Linked DNA regions of Lepisosteus oculatus. The protein of the gene in region 1 binds, or shares a complex with, the protein of each later gene. Links are inferred from orthologs where the notes say so. Each region holds a gene or a part of one and is shown on either strand. Other genes may lie near its edges.

Region 1 (8,094 bases):
CATTTTGCTGACCATTACACATATACTGAATGTTTCAATACTCTGTTTATTTTGGCCAGGAAATTAAACATATTTAATGACTTTATAAAAGTTTTGCTTAAGGAGTATTATTGAATGTCAGGTATGGCTGCATTACTTCTTTGGCTCTGTCTTGTTTTATCTCAGGCTGTAGATGTTAAAACCTAAACTCCTTCTTCTCTCTGTCCTGGTTTCTAATCCCAAGTACAGATCATACTGCATTGTTTAGATGGTCTAAAATATGTGATCTGTTTAAAACCTGAGACAAGTGATATGTGAAGATATGACACCAGCCAGCAACCTGGCTGTGTAATCGACTGCTGGGTCTTTGAACGAGGAACCTGAAAGAAGGCAGAGCTGGAGGGAACAAGGTGAATTTCCAGGACTGCTGGCAGAGCAGACACAGTGGCATGTTCATGTTGCCATAACTACCCTTCACAAGTAATGGCATTCTGTGAAAGAAACTGAAATTAAAGTCTGTGTTTTGCACATCAGGGAGTAGAATTAAATTAACAGAAACAACTAAACTGGTAGCTATGCCAAATCAAATAGCAGAGATCGAATAGGGAAAAAAGAGAAAAAAAAATATCCAGACTAATTTTTCCCAGCCAGCTCTCAGCTTCGTTAAAGCAGCAGAAGAGAAGAGTGTAACATATGAAACAATGTTAAAATAGGAACAGCCTTAACCCATCAGAATATCAGAACATGCAGGGAAACACATACTGCACTGCACGTGTGGCAACAGCAAGGAGGTCTTGAGTAGTTTAGAGATGTAACCATTTCAATCTTCACTATCATGCAATACCCTCAGGAAAGCGATTCACTGGTGATAATGGCCATTAACACACAGTTGGACTGCAGCTGCTGTACTGTAGGTGTCTTAATCCAGAAATAAAGTCAACAGGTTCTGGAATAGGTGTCTTGGCCTGTTCAGTCCCTGATCTGATTGAGACAGTAAATTTAACAGGAGAGGTAAAGAGAAGACAGCAATGAGCACCTTCTGTACATGCTGATTATACACAGGAGTATACAGGGGTGACTAGGGCTGATCTGACAGCAGTCTTCGGGGGTGCACTGCTGACATTGTGTGACAGACTCACTCAGGTCTGTGCAGGGGGGGCTGCCAGCATAGCAACATTTTGATCTGTAGTCGATTGCCACCAAACATCTCATTTCCTTTCCAGAAGGGAGAGGACATTTCTGCAGAACACCCGTTTGTGCAGAATCTTTTTAACTTGTACATAGTAATTCCAGAAGATCCAAAAAACATGGTTTTGTATAAAGTGAGATTATTTATTAATTAATTATTCTGCTAGGTATCAGATCCATGATTACACAATCATACTGTCTTTCTATAACTCTATATACCATCCCATAGTGTGCATTGCCCCCTGTACTTTCCATACTAGGTGTTTATTTACAAATAGGGTTTTTTTTAATTACGCTTTAACTGTTTAGTCCCAGATGGGTTAATGAACTTCAAGTAATACCCAGGTTGCTGATAAACCATTGCTGTTATCACTGACAGGCATGCCACCATGTAACCCATTTACTTACAAGCGCCTGGGTGTGAATGGCAGCAGAAAAAAATACACATTTACCAGCAGTAGCTCTTTCCAATTTGTTGGTACACTAGAACTGCAATTGCAACTACTTCCTAGTTCTTTACTTCCAGTACCAGGCAAATAACAATACTGCCTCTAGACTGGTAGATTCCCTAGATCCGTGTGTGGTTCCATGAAGTAAAAACCTGGCATTTCTTTAAAGAATCTGCTCAACAAAGTGTGTTAATGGTTTTCCTGTACTTTGTGTGAGTGTGAGGGAAACGGCACAAAGCCGCCTCACTCACTTGCCCGGGCCCCTGTCACAGAGAGAGATTTCAGACGGGGCTGAGGTCACGTCTGTAACACTTTCAGCACACTGAGCAGCGTTACACAGAGACCTTCAAATCTAGAACAATTAAGTCAGCAATTCATTCAAGAAAGATCATTAGAAGTCCAGGGAGAAATTAAAACTGCACGACACCACGGTCCCGCAGAACAAGCGATGCGCTCCGGAATCATTATTAACATAGCGCCACCTTTACAGCCTTTCCGACGCAGTGTGCACCGATTTCGAGTCCATTGAATTTATTTCCTCTGCATTATAACCACCTTTGTGCATCATAACGTCAGTCATACATGAGCAGCATTAATTTACTACAAAGAAAAAAAATACTGTTCCATCATATATACAGAGAAAAGCATATATATATATATTAAAAGTTTCGGGCTCGGCGAGGACGTACTCGGTGACTCGGACACTCGTTGAGTTAAGAAAACAGCGCTTTTATTAAACTTCGGTACACCCAATCACAGCACACCTGCGCCCGCGCCCCAGCAGAGCAGAAGACTGACTCTGGAAAAAAACGAGCAAGCGCCTGAGAGAATCGAGAAAGAGCAACACACTGGGGTCTACTCGGGTACCTACACCGGTATAGGGTGGCAGGTATTTCGTACCTGGTGCGAAACCAGGGAACTATTTACAAGAATCCGAGTGATCTCCCCAGAATGTACGCCAGTACAGTGGGTCAGCTGCACTGGTCAGCGGCTTTACTAGTCCCCCCCGACCACTACTACTCCCGTCCTGCCTCTCGCCGCGCACCCCAGCCGGGCGCTCTTCGGCTGCAGCGCCAGGCGAATGCGCTACAACAGTGGTTCTCAAACTTTTTGGACCAAGTACCACCCCTAATCCAACCAAAGCATCCAAGTACCACCTACAAGTCATCATCTCATAGAAACCCCAGAAACTATCAATGACCAACATGAGCGCATGTGCACACACACTCACACATACATATAATAAATATTATAATAATAAACTTTGTTTGATATATTAAAATGTGGCTTCTCAAAGTGTTTTACAGAAAAAAAACAACACATAAAAATAAAAAAGCACCTGTTTAGAGGGGTGAGCCTGTTTAGTTGAGCAAAGCAGATGTGAATTAATTTTTCGAGCCTTGATACAATTCACAACAGTCTTAACAGATTTTAAATCGTCAGGCATTTTCTTGACGGCAAAGGTCTCGCGGTGGATGTTGCAATGAAACCATTAATTTCTGGAGCAACCTCTCTAATTCGTTCAACTACACCGCTGTGTCGGCTTGTCATTGCTCTAGCACCGTCTGTACAAACTCCGACACATTTTATCCAGTCGATGCCATTCTCTGCGATAAATTCATTCGAAAGCTGAAATACGTGCTCTCCTGTAGTTCCTGTTGGTAGCGGCTTACAGAACAGAAAGTCCTCACGGGACGTACCCTCAAACTCCTATCTAACGTAAACGAGCAAATTGGCCAAATCGACTACAGACTCATCTAATTGCAGTGAAAAACATCTGCTCATCTTAACTCGCGCTGTCAGCGTACTTTTGATATCATATTTCATTTCAATAATTCTATGAATGACTGTGTCTTTCGGGGGGGAGGCAGCAGGTCGATCTGTTCAGCAGCTTTTTCTCCACACCTAATAGTGTGGGGCTTACCTGCTTTAGCAATCCGCAAGCGTGCATTTTTCCACGTTTCCGTTTTTATTTCAGTGTTTATTTTAAGTATTTATTTCATGCGCATGGGAGAGAAACACAGAGACGCTCGGTGTATTTTTGTCAAATTAACTTAGAACAATTTTAAAATAATTTTCTGTTATTTTTCACGCCTTTCTGTGCTCACAAGATTACCAGCGTTCGTAGAACGCATTTCTATGCATTCCTGTGTTTACAACGTTGGCATTGTTCCAAAATCACGCACATTCTCATTTCTCCCTATTTGCTGGAGATACAGTAGCTTTTTTTAAATACAATTGGTCACTTGCGTCCGTAGCACGCATTCCTATAGAGTGGTATAGAATTACAGAGTATCTCTTGTGTCCACTGAAGTATTAGCGCGCACTGTATCGTAGCACCTAGGCTGCGTATTCGACACGTATAAAAATACAAAATATGAAAATCCGTCCCGATTTTTTCAGCGCACACAACACAGTTCCAGGGTCATTTGGCGTACCACTTGGCGGCACGCCACGTACCACTGCCGGTACGCGTACCACAGTTTGAGAACCACTGCGCTACAATATTATTGTTTTTAATATGCAATTACAGACAGCTTTGTCGATCAACCATCTCTGAATTAAATCACGTTTTCTCCATGGTCATAAATCCAAGAGACTTTGGCCAGTTGTTCTACATTTAATTTATCGTAATCTCTACATCTAGTATCAGATTTTCAGTTGTCTTGTCTAATATTGTTGTGACATTTTTTGTGATCATTTTACTGTAAGCGGGTTTCTGTTCTTTCGGGCTTAAACCAATGAAATCACAGCTCCGGTCAGGACTACATTTGTATTGTAACGCTACGGCGTTCACGTCGGCCCCCCACCTTCGGGGACTCGAACCCGGGCCTCCAGCGTCACTCAGCAGGGACCCAGCCTCTTGAGCCTAAGGGGAATCTCCCGTCAGCCCGGCGGCTGCGGTCCCTGCTATTCACAGGGAAGGGCGGTGACGTCACCGCGCTGGTCAGCCGGCTCTCACGAGCAATGGAGGCCGTATGCGTTACAACTATAAATATATATAAAAGGAACGTGTCCTTAGCAATATAAATACTTAACACTAAAATTTTAAAAAAAACGTTATTATGTATGTATATCAAAATCGAATTCCTTATAACAAAGGATAATTTTCAATTTCAACAATATAATTTCATATTGACACATTATAGTTAACCAAGTTCATATGGTTCTGATTTATTTTATGATACAAATTAAATTAAAATTAAGTAGCATAGCAACTCGCGTGTATTAGGCGACAATCTTGCAACACGATGAGCATCACTAATCGAGCCCCGATCAACAGGCTCGCTGGCTTGAAACGGTGCGCGCAGTGCATGCTGGAAATTGTAGTTTGCCTCTCACGAGTGCCTCGCTGATACCGCTCAACTTGCCTTACGCGAAAACTCCAACTCCTACAATCCCACAGCTGCATAGCGTTACTCTGCAATGGCGAGGTTCTTGGTGGACTACCTACCGAAGACTTCTTAATTAAAGTTACTATCAGTCAAATACACGCGGATTTTTTTTATTTTGCAAAGTTTAGGTGTATTGTTTTTGACATTGCGTTCGGTCAGCCCAAAGCCCATTTTTTGTTGTTGTCGCTTTTTATTAGCATACTTACAACTGTGACAGTTTTATTTCGAAGGGGCAACATGCTGTTTTATTTGATACTGAAGTCCCAGCAGGTGAGGTCAGCCCGGTGCTGCGGCTTTCGATGCTACCGACAGTTGCACAGGGACGGCGGGAGCTTGCAGCGCGCCTCGCCCACAGCTGCCGTGCGGTCCGTCTGTGCGGCCGGGCTCCGCAGCGCCCTGCACGTCCCCAAACTGGGCGTCCTGGCCGATCCCGGGCTCAGAAGGGGGAAGCATGAAAGTTCAGGGCAGTTACCCGCGCAGGGGCGCCGAGGCGACACTTCGACACTGTCCACAGCCCAGAAAGGTGAGGGACTGGCCCGGGAGCCGAGGTCGCGATTTGCCCTGGACGCTATCTGGGACAAGGTACTCACGGTGGAGCTGGGTGGCCTCCCGGTAATTCATTGGTGTAGGCAGGAAGACAGTGATACCAGTTTCCCTCGCTGTCCAAAAGCAATGACAGTGTCAAGCCAGTGGATTTAAGAGTGAAACAATAGCAAGAGGACAAAAATGGAAACTGCTTGGAACTGCGTTTAAAAGTTTACTCAAAGGGCTGTGCGAGTGTGGAACAAGCTACCTTGCCAATATCCTGGTGTAGTTCAAGAAACAGCTGGGTAAAAGCTACCAAACTAGCTACTGTAGGTGGACTGAATGTCCCCATCTCGTTTGTATCCTTTCTTAAAAGGTTTCTGGTAGGTCTTTGTTCTTGGTGGACAAATGAACTGTGTTTGCAAGAATGCTCCTTTGGAAAGTGGGTTAGAGTGAAATTCTGAAACAAGTGTGTATAAGTGTTGCTGGGCAGCAGAGTAGAGTGGTGGTTAGGTTAAGACGGGGAGGTTGGGAGTTCAAATCCCAGGGGCACTGCTGCTGTGTTCCCGAGCACGGGGCTGCACTCAGACTGCTGAAGTAAAATAAGTCTGTAAAATTGGGCACAAGTGCCGCGTTGCTCTGTTTAAAGGGCTCACTCTAATAATAATAAAAGTGTTCCCAGACTGTTTAGACTGGCAAGTATTTTTAAAAAGAGAAACAGTAATGTGCTCTCTTTTCTCCTCCTTGCAGTCAAGAAAGCTGGGAAGGATTTCACGTATCTAATTGTGGTGCTTGTTGGGATTGGAGTAACAGGTAAGTTCTCGTGACCAAGGTGACAGGAGCTTCCTGTTAATACACATTCATTACGGAAAACGGGTGTGTTTTTATTGTTTCATCAATTTAACATCAGTTATGTGCATCTAAGATTTATTATATTTTCACATATGGAAATCAGTTTCAAATTAGAATGCTATAATGTACCTGTACCATATGCAATCCACAGAAACACCAAGAGCGTGAAAACATAAGAAAGGTTACAGAAGTTATGCAAAACCCTGCACTTGCCTGTATTGTCTTCAGCCAGGCGCTCACCCAGTCATGAGATCCACATTGGAGCCTGTGATGGCAATTCTATCCCAAAGGAGTGGGGGGGGCAGTGTTTCATTGGCCTTTGTGTGGGTGAACTGTGTCTGTAAGCAGGAACAATGTTTGTGCAAGAACAACGCTGGAGCACGTCCTCTTAAAACAGATTGAACTGCATATCCTAAAACTGTGTAAGATTTAAAAATATGTCAAAACACAGATCCGGGGCTGTTGTCCACTGCATGGTGGATGAATGCAATTCGATAGACCAAAGAGATAAGAAGTCAGACAGCGAGGTGTGAACTGAGGTGAAACATTACTTTGTCTTTTATCAAAGTAAAGATTCGCAAAAACCCAGTATTTGAACACAGACACTGGTGGGTCACTTTTTAAAGATTTAATCAGATTTGCTTGTTTTACTTACATATTCAACAGTTTACTTCCAAAAATCCCAAATTAGTAGGAGTATGTGTTTTATGGTACCTGGATAAAAAAGAACAACCTTGCACTTCTTCAGTCCATTTTAAAACAGCCTGGAGATGATGGATGTTACAAGCCATTTTCTAGAACTGTATTTATGTTTGATGTTATGATCTTTTCATCAGTCTTAATGTAGAAAACGATCCAGTCAGTTTTTCATTAGTTTTCATTAATGTCTTTGGATTATTAACTCAGTGCAATTTATCAGTGAACATTGCAAGTACAAATGCAGATGACAACCATGTAAACAAAGGAAGGCTTTCCTGAGGTATAACAAGCTATTATTAATTACCTAATTATCTGTCAGTTCACCTTTTAACTCTGCAGAATGTTAATGTGTTGCTGGCAGCTCAGTGTTTGAGGTTAATGCACTGAAAACTACATCATGGTCATTATGGATGGGAGCTGAAACATATCAACTGCTTTTATGCACAATCATGAGTTTGGGATCATGGATAAATTCATCCATTGTATTGCTTTAACATGCTGAACACATTTGCATGCATTGTTTTTACTAAATGAATGAGGGCTATTGAATTTCATTTTTGCAAATAGTGAATTAAGATGCCATGTCTTCATTCTGTTCTTTTGGGGGGAAAAAAGCTTTCTGAATCTGTATTAGGTGGAGGAGTTGGTAGCCATAATTTCTGCATGACTGTGTGTCTTTGTCTTAATTACAAATCGGTTGATTTTCTTTTTCTTCAGTATTTAATACGTATGCTTTTTCAATTATTCTACAGTCCTATGAGTTCAGTTTAAAAAATCATTTCTGTTCAATTTCTCATTCATCTATTGTTGTTTGTATTATGTAGCCACAATATAAAAACTGCAACCACTTTTATTTATAACCTACTATACATTTGAAGCCTCAGAGCACATTGGATTGTTTTGATTAGCCCTCATTGACTCTCTCCTTCCTTCAGGTGGATTATTCTATGTTGTCTTCAAGGAGTTGTTTTCATCTTCTAGTCCAAGCAAAATCTATGGAAAGGCTT
Region 2 (7,978 bases), about 24 Mb from region 1:
TGATGATTGGGATGTGAAGATTGTTGTTAACTATACTGAACCATTTCGGCATCCTTAACATGAAGGTATACAAAACAAAGAGCACACCTGGAACACTGTGGATACTGAACTCTTAAAGACTCCTGAAGGGATGGAATATGCCAGGGCCTATCAGAAAATCATAGAGCAGTCTGTGAATGAGGAGCCTCTGAGACTCACACTGCCAGTGAACAGAATACAATGTGGTGAAAAAGTAAGCACATGCCTCACAACCTACGTTTTTATGGTTCAACATATTTCGACATATGTGACCTTCCACCTACAGTAATCCTCACCAAGTCCCAATAACAGATAAAATAAAGCTCATTTGACAAAACACACAACCATTCTACTATGTTATTATTTCTTTAAAAATATCAGCCAGGATGCAATACCTCTGAAAGGATAAAAGGAATTCTCAAAATGTTTGTTAAAAGAATCTTTTTCTATGTCTTCCATAATGTTATAATATAGATCCACACAGCCTGAGCTAGAAAGGGAAACTGCCACCACTATGAGACTGGGAGTCAGGTTGTAGGACTGTATCCAGGGTCCCCCTTTCCTCTTGTGTGAATCACAACCCACAATGGCCCTGTCCATTCCCTTGAAAAACATTACTTCAGTTCTGCAGATAAGCTTTTCACGTTGTGTACGTCTATGTGAACAGAAAACATGCCTCAGACAATGACAGAAATTTCTATTTTAATAAATATTAGCACAGGAAATTATTACAGACACTAGAAGCAGATAAGATAAATATCTAGAGTATTCTACCAATTATTCTCAAAGAAACAAATGTTAGTCATAGACCATAATGAAAACTCTTCCTGAAGTCTGTTGAAACAGAGGTAATATCCGCTCACTGGAAAATATCTACCATAGCACTGATACATAATAATAGTGACCGCTCCATTTTATTGTAAAGCAATACAATATAGATTTTGTGCAAAATGTGCATAGGTATATACAGATTGAAAGTACCACAGTATAAACAGTATATTACTGCAGTGTCCAAAAATTACATTAGTGCAACATGCTGTCCATAGACAGCCTAGCCTAGGGCAGTGTTATACACCCTGACAGCCGCCGGGAGGAAGGACCTGTGGAAACGTTCCCTTGAACACCGTAGCTGGAGCAGTCTGTTACTAAAAGTGCTCCGCTGTCTAATAACAGTCCCATGTAGCGGATGAGATGCATTGTTAATGATGGCTGTGAGCTTGGTCAGCAATCTTCTCTCTGTCACCACCTCCAGGGGGGTCACGGCTCAGCCCCAAAACAGAGCCAGCCTTCTTGATGAGTTTATTGAGTCTACTTACATCTCTTGCCATGATGCTGCACCCCCAGCACACAACAGCGTAGAAGTTTACTCCTTAACAAACTTACTCCTGTTGGCAAACTTACTGAGCACATTACACTGAGAAGCAGAACCTTACTGGGAAGACTGCAGTAAAAATCTGAAATCGATATTTAAAAGGATTCACATGGAAAGACAAAACAAAAATCTTCTTAAGGTAGATGTCCTAAGGTAGATGGGCACTGAGAAACAGATACAAATTCTTGTAACAGTTCTGTAATGGTGAATTGGTAAACCCCAATTAACTTAAGTCATCTCTATGAAGACCAAAGACCAAATTGTCAGAAATGTTTTTTTTTTCTGTTAAAAACAAAACTTCACCAACTTCCACCCGTCACTCAAATATACAGTTAACATATCTTCCACTACTCTTCCGTTTCTAGACATCAACTTCTCCATTAACTATCCCTGACTCTCTACTTCAGTCTATTACAAACCCACTGATTCACACAACTATCTCCTGTATAGCTTATTTCACCCCAAACACACTAAAAACTCTCTCCCCTTTTCACAGTTCCCTCGGCTACGACGACTCTGCAGCGACATCGATTTCCAGAACCAACCCCTCAAAATGTACTCTTTTAGCATCAACAGAGGATACCCTAGCAGTGTTATTGACAGAGCCCTTGCCTGAGCCCAAAACATCCCTTGGACCATCAACTCAATCAAGAATTTCCGCCTTAACAACCGCATTCCTTTGGTGCTTCCCCACCACCCTCACTTCCTATCCCCAGGGCTATTAACGACAATTTTTCCATCCTACAGGATGATCCCTGCATTGGGGCTCTCTTTTCTGACCGAAACATCATCTCATATCGTCAACCACCTAATCTGCGTAACCTTCTTGTTCACAGCTCCCTTGACCGCCCTCAGCAACCATCCACACCAGGCACTTTCCCTTGCAACAGAGCTCGTTGTATCAGCTGCAAGAATGTATCTAACACCACACTCATTCAAGGCCTCTCAGAACAATTCCAGATCACTCGGATGACATCTTGTACCTCCAGCAACCTTATTTACTGTATTTCTTGCAGTAAACAGGAAGGAGACTCGGAGACTGCTTCAGAGAACGTGCCAGGGCTGTAAAGATTAAAGATTTCTCCAAGCCCATTGTTTCTCATTTCACCTCTGACGGCCATGATCACACTAATCTCTCCATTTGTGTTCTCAAAGCTGGTTTTCCTAATTCAAACATCAGAAAGACTACAGAAACTAAACGTATCCTGCAGTTAGGATCACACCTTTTTCCTCTCAATGACAGACTGATTTTCTTCTAAATTCTCTCTTTTCATTGTAGGTTTCATTTCACACCTCTCTTCACCTATCGTGACATCATACTACCTGATTGGCCACTTTGTCTGTCCCACGCTCCCACCTCTCGCCCCTCCTCTCTCCCAGCTTTTGTTCTCCTATGCTATATTACCTTTGCTTACTGCCCTGTCCTTCTTACACCTGAAGAAGGCTCCACTGCCAAAAAACAAAAAACATAGATGTACATACAAAAAACATGAATTTAGAAGTTTTAATTGCCACAGGATGTAGAACCAAGTCAAAACAATCTTCCTCCTCTGTTCTTCAGCTGAAGAAGGCTCCACAGCGAAACGTTGTTTTCTTTCTTCTCTTTTCAGCATGGAATAAACCTATTACTTGTTCCTTTGCAGCCTACGCATGCTGACGCAGCTACCCACCTGAACTTCCTCTTCTGTCATTTGTTTTTGTAAATAGTATGATGTATTTCGACAGTGCCTTTACTACAGGGAGCTAAATAAAAAGACTATTCCAGATTCTTAGCCAATTCCACATATTCAGGAAATCTTGGACATCTTATAATAATAATAATAATAATAATAATAATAATAATAATAATAATAATAATAATTGCTTACACTTATATAGCGCTTTTATGGACACTCCACTCAAAGCGCTTTACAGGTAGTGGGGACTCCCCTCCACCACCACCAATGTGCAGCATCCACCTGGATGATGCGACGGCAGCCATAGTGGGCCAGAACGCTCACCGCACATCAGCTATCACTGATAGTATCAGTGGGGAGGAGAGCAGAGTAATGAAGCCAATTCATAGATGGAAAGTCGTGGTGTTCGGTTTTAGACCTTTTTTCGACTTAATGAAACTTGGGATTTTATACAGACCCGAAAAATACTAAAGTAAAATATGTATTAATTCAGGTAAAGGGCTCGCTACAGTGCTGTACATTTCCATCAAACACTGCCGAAAAACCTGAAAGTACACCCAGGTCAAATGGTGAAGCCATCAAAAAAGTCGAAACACACAAAACCTAAAGCGTACTGTAGACCGCTAAAATAAATCCAAAACAAAGCCAAGACGAATAGCGACAAATCATTATCTTGAATATTCGGATTATCTTGTGAAGCCCTGTAAATTAATTGATCCATCACTGTTAGAACGCCTCTTATAACCTAAAAGGTCATTTCAAATATTTTTTGGACAACACTCGGATTATCTGACATCCACTGTCTCAAATGTTTCCATAAAGCAGATGACTCGTGCAAAGGAAAAGAGGTGCATACATCCACGACCTCAAGTGTGTCATATCCAACAACTGTCAAGCGAAACCTTTTAATTAAAAAAAATCTGCAAGCTAAGGGTTTCTGTCTGACCAAAGAAATTGACCAACATTGTATTAATAACTACTAAAACGCATAATACAGCAGTTTCACATCTCTTTCTGTCATAACTCAATAAACACCCGGGAGTCTCTTACAATATGATGTTTTTAAAATATATTACATTTCTACATCGGCCAAGGATACATCAATCATCACGAAAATTCATATAAAAACTGTTCATAACCCAATACTAATAATACCAGACAGATCTTACTTAGGGAACTCTTGGTAAAAGTGAGGCATGAAAAGCTAAACAAAACTTTTTACATACTTTTAACATGAGGACGCAGGCAGACAGTATTTAATAAAATACACTTTGGGTTATGTAACAATTTTACAGCTCACATTGATGCAGTGGCAAGCCTAAAACAAACTCTATAAAGAAACATTGCTTAACCGTTACCAAATATTAAATGTGTGAGTGTTTTTCAACAATACTAGATTAAAATAGACGAAATCAAACAAGATATAGACAATAAACTTAAAGACTGCATAAACCAATTTGCAGAGGTTACACAACACTAAAACTGAAAGCAGTGATGATGCATTCTTTATTTTTTCCATCTTTGCCATGTGGCGTTCATTAAAGCTATTCACCTACTGTAGCTTACCCGTCTTTTATCGTCCTTCTCTTCGCTGTCGCTCCTGTCAACTGCTGTAACTGATCGCTAAATGATGTAACTAATTTAGATACAACTTTCATAACTCGCACATGTCAAACAGGAGAGGTTTTCAGTGACGTAACCACACCCGGGCGTTTCTGCATAGTATCTCCTATCACGATATAACAAAAGGACTTAGGTCGGGGTGCATGGAGTAGATACGCAAGCCTTTTGATTACATAATGCCCCCTAGAACATTAATGATGTTTGGGATGTGAAAATATTTTAGTGTTAAGAAAACTGACCCCAATGTTGTGCTCATGTTAACCACTTAGCTTGTCTTCTTGTTAATAAAGATATGACATTCAAGACTAAAATGGCTGCCCCCTTGGAGGATGTGTAAAAAAATTGTGTAAGTCACTGTGCGATTTAAATGTCACTTATTCATTGACAAGTTTTGGTTTTTGATACAGGCACAATTCATGTTACCCAACGTGAATTCTGTTTATTTCGTTTTAAAACTAATTTAAATTAATTACGATGCAGACAACTCATATCTAGTCCAGCTTCTGTACTGGATTGATTTGATCATTTTCATAGAACCGTCTATTGCACCGTGTCACATTAATATTGATCTTTGATAAGATGATACTACATTTAACATGAGGTATACTAAAATGTTTATCGTAGCTCTAACGTCGGAATTACAGTATACATTTACTACAGTATAAATCCATGTTCAGCGCTAAAAATGTTAGAAATACAATACTTCACCTACCCCACAGTAGGTGATATTGGTATAGTGGTGAAACAAGTTTGGTGTCGACCAGGAGTGGGGAAAAATAGACTGGAGGATGTTAATTGTCCTTTTTACATGCTAGTCACTGGGGAAGGGAGTTAAGTCCTGAGAGAAAGAGAAAAAGGGACATCTTCTTGGATGGACACAAAGCAAAGATACAGAAAGGGGGATCTACCGTATCTATCTATTGTTATAAAGAAAAAAGGCAGGAGGAGGTAACTGTATCTGTCCACTCTGGAAGGTGTGGAGTGCTAGAGTATATTAAAGATGAAAGATTTGTCCATCTTAAATGACTACTTTTAGTGATCAAATATGCCTGTATATTTAAAATGATCTTCTGCTTGAAGACAACAAAGTCTTCAGATAAGAGGTGGTAATTGTGTAATTCCTTTAATTTTGACATGTTGTCATTACTTATTAGTGAATAAGAACATAAGAAAGTTTATAAATCAGAGGAAGCTAGTTGTGCACAGTTTTCTGACCTAACTCTTACAAGTGAATGGTAAGGTTTTAAATCAAATCAAATCAAAGTTTATTTATCCAATGCACAACAATACAGCGTGCAGCAGTAGTTGCTGGCAATGAAATGTCTTTTCTGCAAGCTCACGAAAATCACAAGAATCACAAAAATCACAAAAACACAAAAATCACAAAATTGAGGTTATGAAAATAAGGTTACATAATTATAGATGTAATAGAAATTGAATAAAACTCAATATGAGCAGAGCTGCTATGTGTCCATGGTGTATGCAGTATATGCAAGTAGTGCAGTTATGCTTAATACAGTGAAAACTTTGTGTCCATGTAGCCATTACAGGTGATTTGCTAAAGGAGCTGCAGGCAGTAACTTAACAGCCGTTGATTCAATTGTATGATATTATTTCTGTACTACTCTGTTTTCTGTTAATTTTCCATGTTGACTCTAAGCTTATTGCCATAGAGATAATCTTCCAGTTTAGTTCTTACAAACCGTTGCAGTCATCCCAATTTAAGTTCTTGCATCTAAAAAAAAACCCTTTACACCAGGAACCTTCTACTCCATCTCCCTTGTTTTATGAGGATAACAAGTCTCAGATTATCATAGTCTGATTAGATAGCTTCAGTACATGTGCTCTGGCCACTTTCCACTGGGTAGTAGCTAAATTTCATGTTCATGTAACCATGATTATTATTAGCCAATATTATCTGTCTTTCTATCTGTTCTTGATGCCAACACTGCCAACCCAACATGTTCTGCGGCAGCAATAGTATTTTTGTCCACTAGATGGCAGTACATCATAACAGTATAATAAAGGTTGACACTATTAGTTTCTTCCGTAACATAACGCCTTTTTTTGTCTGAACTTATCTTCCTGCTTTTTTTCTACAGAGGCTTGTCATTTTAAATGATGGTTGCATAAATTTAATATACTTAATATCATGCAAAGGTTTTCAGAACAACTTAAGCATTTGTTTGTAAACATTGTTTTCTGTATGTTGGTCCAAGCAATTTGAAAGCTGCACTTTCAGTGTGTAGTTTTTAATTATTCTAGGGAAAGAGATATAACCTTTCAGTTTAACACTACAGTAATTAATCTGGCAGTATCTTTTTCATTCATGCATTTTTCTCTTTGCAGGGTCAGGCGAAAACGTTATCTGGGTTTTTTTTTTAATCTGTGACTTGTAGAGCTACCAGACAAGGTAACCATAACTAGCTGGCATTCGGAAATCTCTTTATCATCCTCTTCTGAACTGAATTCCTCTTTCCTCCTTGAGAATATATTTTTTTCATTTCTAAAGAGCAGTCCGGTGTTTCATCAAACAAAGCTTTCAGGCAGTCTTTGGTGCAGGATAATTTCGTCTTCTGAGCTAATATGGAAAGCAATTTAATTGAGTAATGAAGAAGCCATTTTAGTAGTTCTGTATTTGTAGTAGAAACACAGATGTCACAAGAACATTCAACTGTAAAGTGTGTTTGTATTTCTGTGGATGTTCATTTTATCATTATCATTTGTTCCTGCTCGATAACGTAGAAAAACCTGTTTAGTGGAGCTTATATGATGGACAGTGGTCCAAAACAGGATCTGGCCCACACTATGACTTTCAAGTTAATAAGGTTAATACCTGTAAAGTTAAATGTCAAATACGGTTTTATTTCTTACACTAACAGCAGTACCAAATTGCAAATCGTAGTTGTGACCATCAGGAATTCTTAAATATCTTTAATGACTGTATATTTCACAATATCATTAGTACATGTAATATATAAACAATTTTAGGGTTTACACATGGTTAAAAAAGTTCCTCTACAATAAAGAGTTCCTAACATGTGGTATGTGCATATCATGCAATATATATGTCCATCTTATGAAAAAAGAAGCGTGGTATGTAGACACAGACTGATTAGAAAGCAAGATTCAAAATGCAAAAAGTTGCTTTAACCTGTATAGTTAATGATAACTCATTAGGGTGATCAGTACTAGACATATTTTCCAATATTTCTCCCTTAATACCTTAATGTTATAATGAAGTCTGACATTATGACATAATAAAGATTATGACATAATGAGGTAAGTG

The links.
Region 2: timm21 (region 1) and coa1 share a complex: the UniProt entries of both Homo sapiens proteins name them as parts of the MITRAC (mitochondrial translation regulation assembly intermediate of cytochrome c oxidase complex) complex. The link is inferred for Lepisosteus oculatus from reciprocal best matches to the Homo sapiens genes TIMM21 and COA1.

Annotation. Positions count from the first base shown.
Region 1 is NC_090701.1:376,374-384,467, forward strand, and holds the start of timm21 (mitochondrial import inner membrane translocase subunit Tim21), read left to right. Parts: upstream 1-4,998; 5' UTR 4,999-5,248; coding exon 5,249-5,534; intron 5,535-6,286; coding exon 6,287-6,349; intron 6,350-8,022; coding exon 8,023-8,094. UniProt on the Homo sapiens protein: Participates in the translocation of transit peptide-containing proteins across the mitochondrial inner membrane.
Region 2 is NC_090701.1:24,137,029-24,145,006, reverse strand, and holds the start of coa1 (cytochrome c oxidase assembly factor 1 homolog), read left to right. Parts: upstream 1-4,944; 5' UTR 4,945-5,035; intron 5,036-7,038; 5' UTR 7,039-7,102; intron 7,103-7,978. UniProt on the Homo sapiens protein: Component of the MITRAC (mitochondrial translation regulation assembly intermediate of cytochrome c oxidase complex) complex, that regulates cytochrome c oxidase assembly.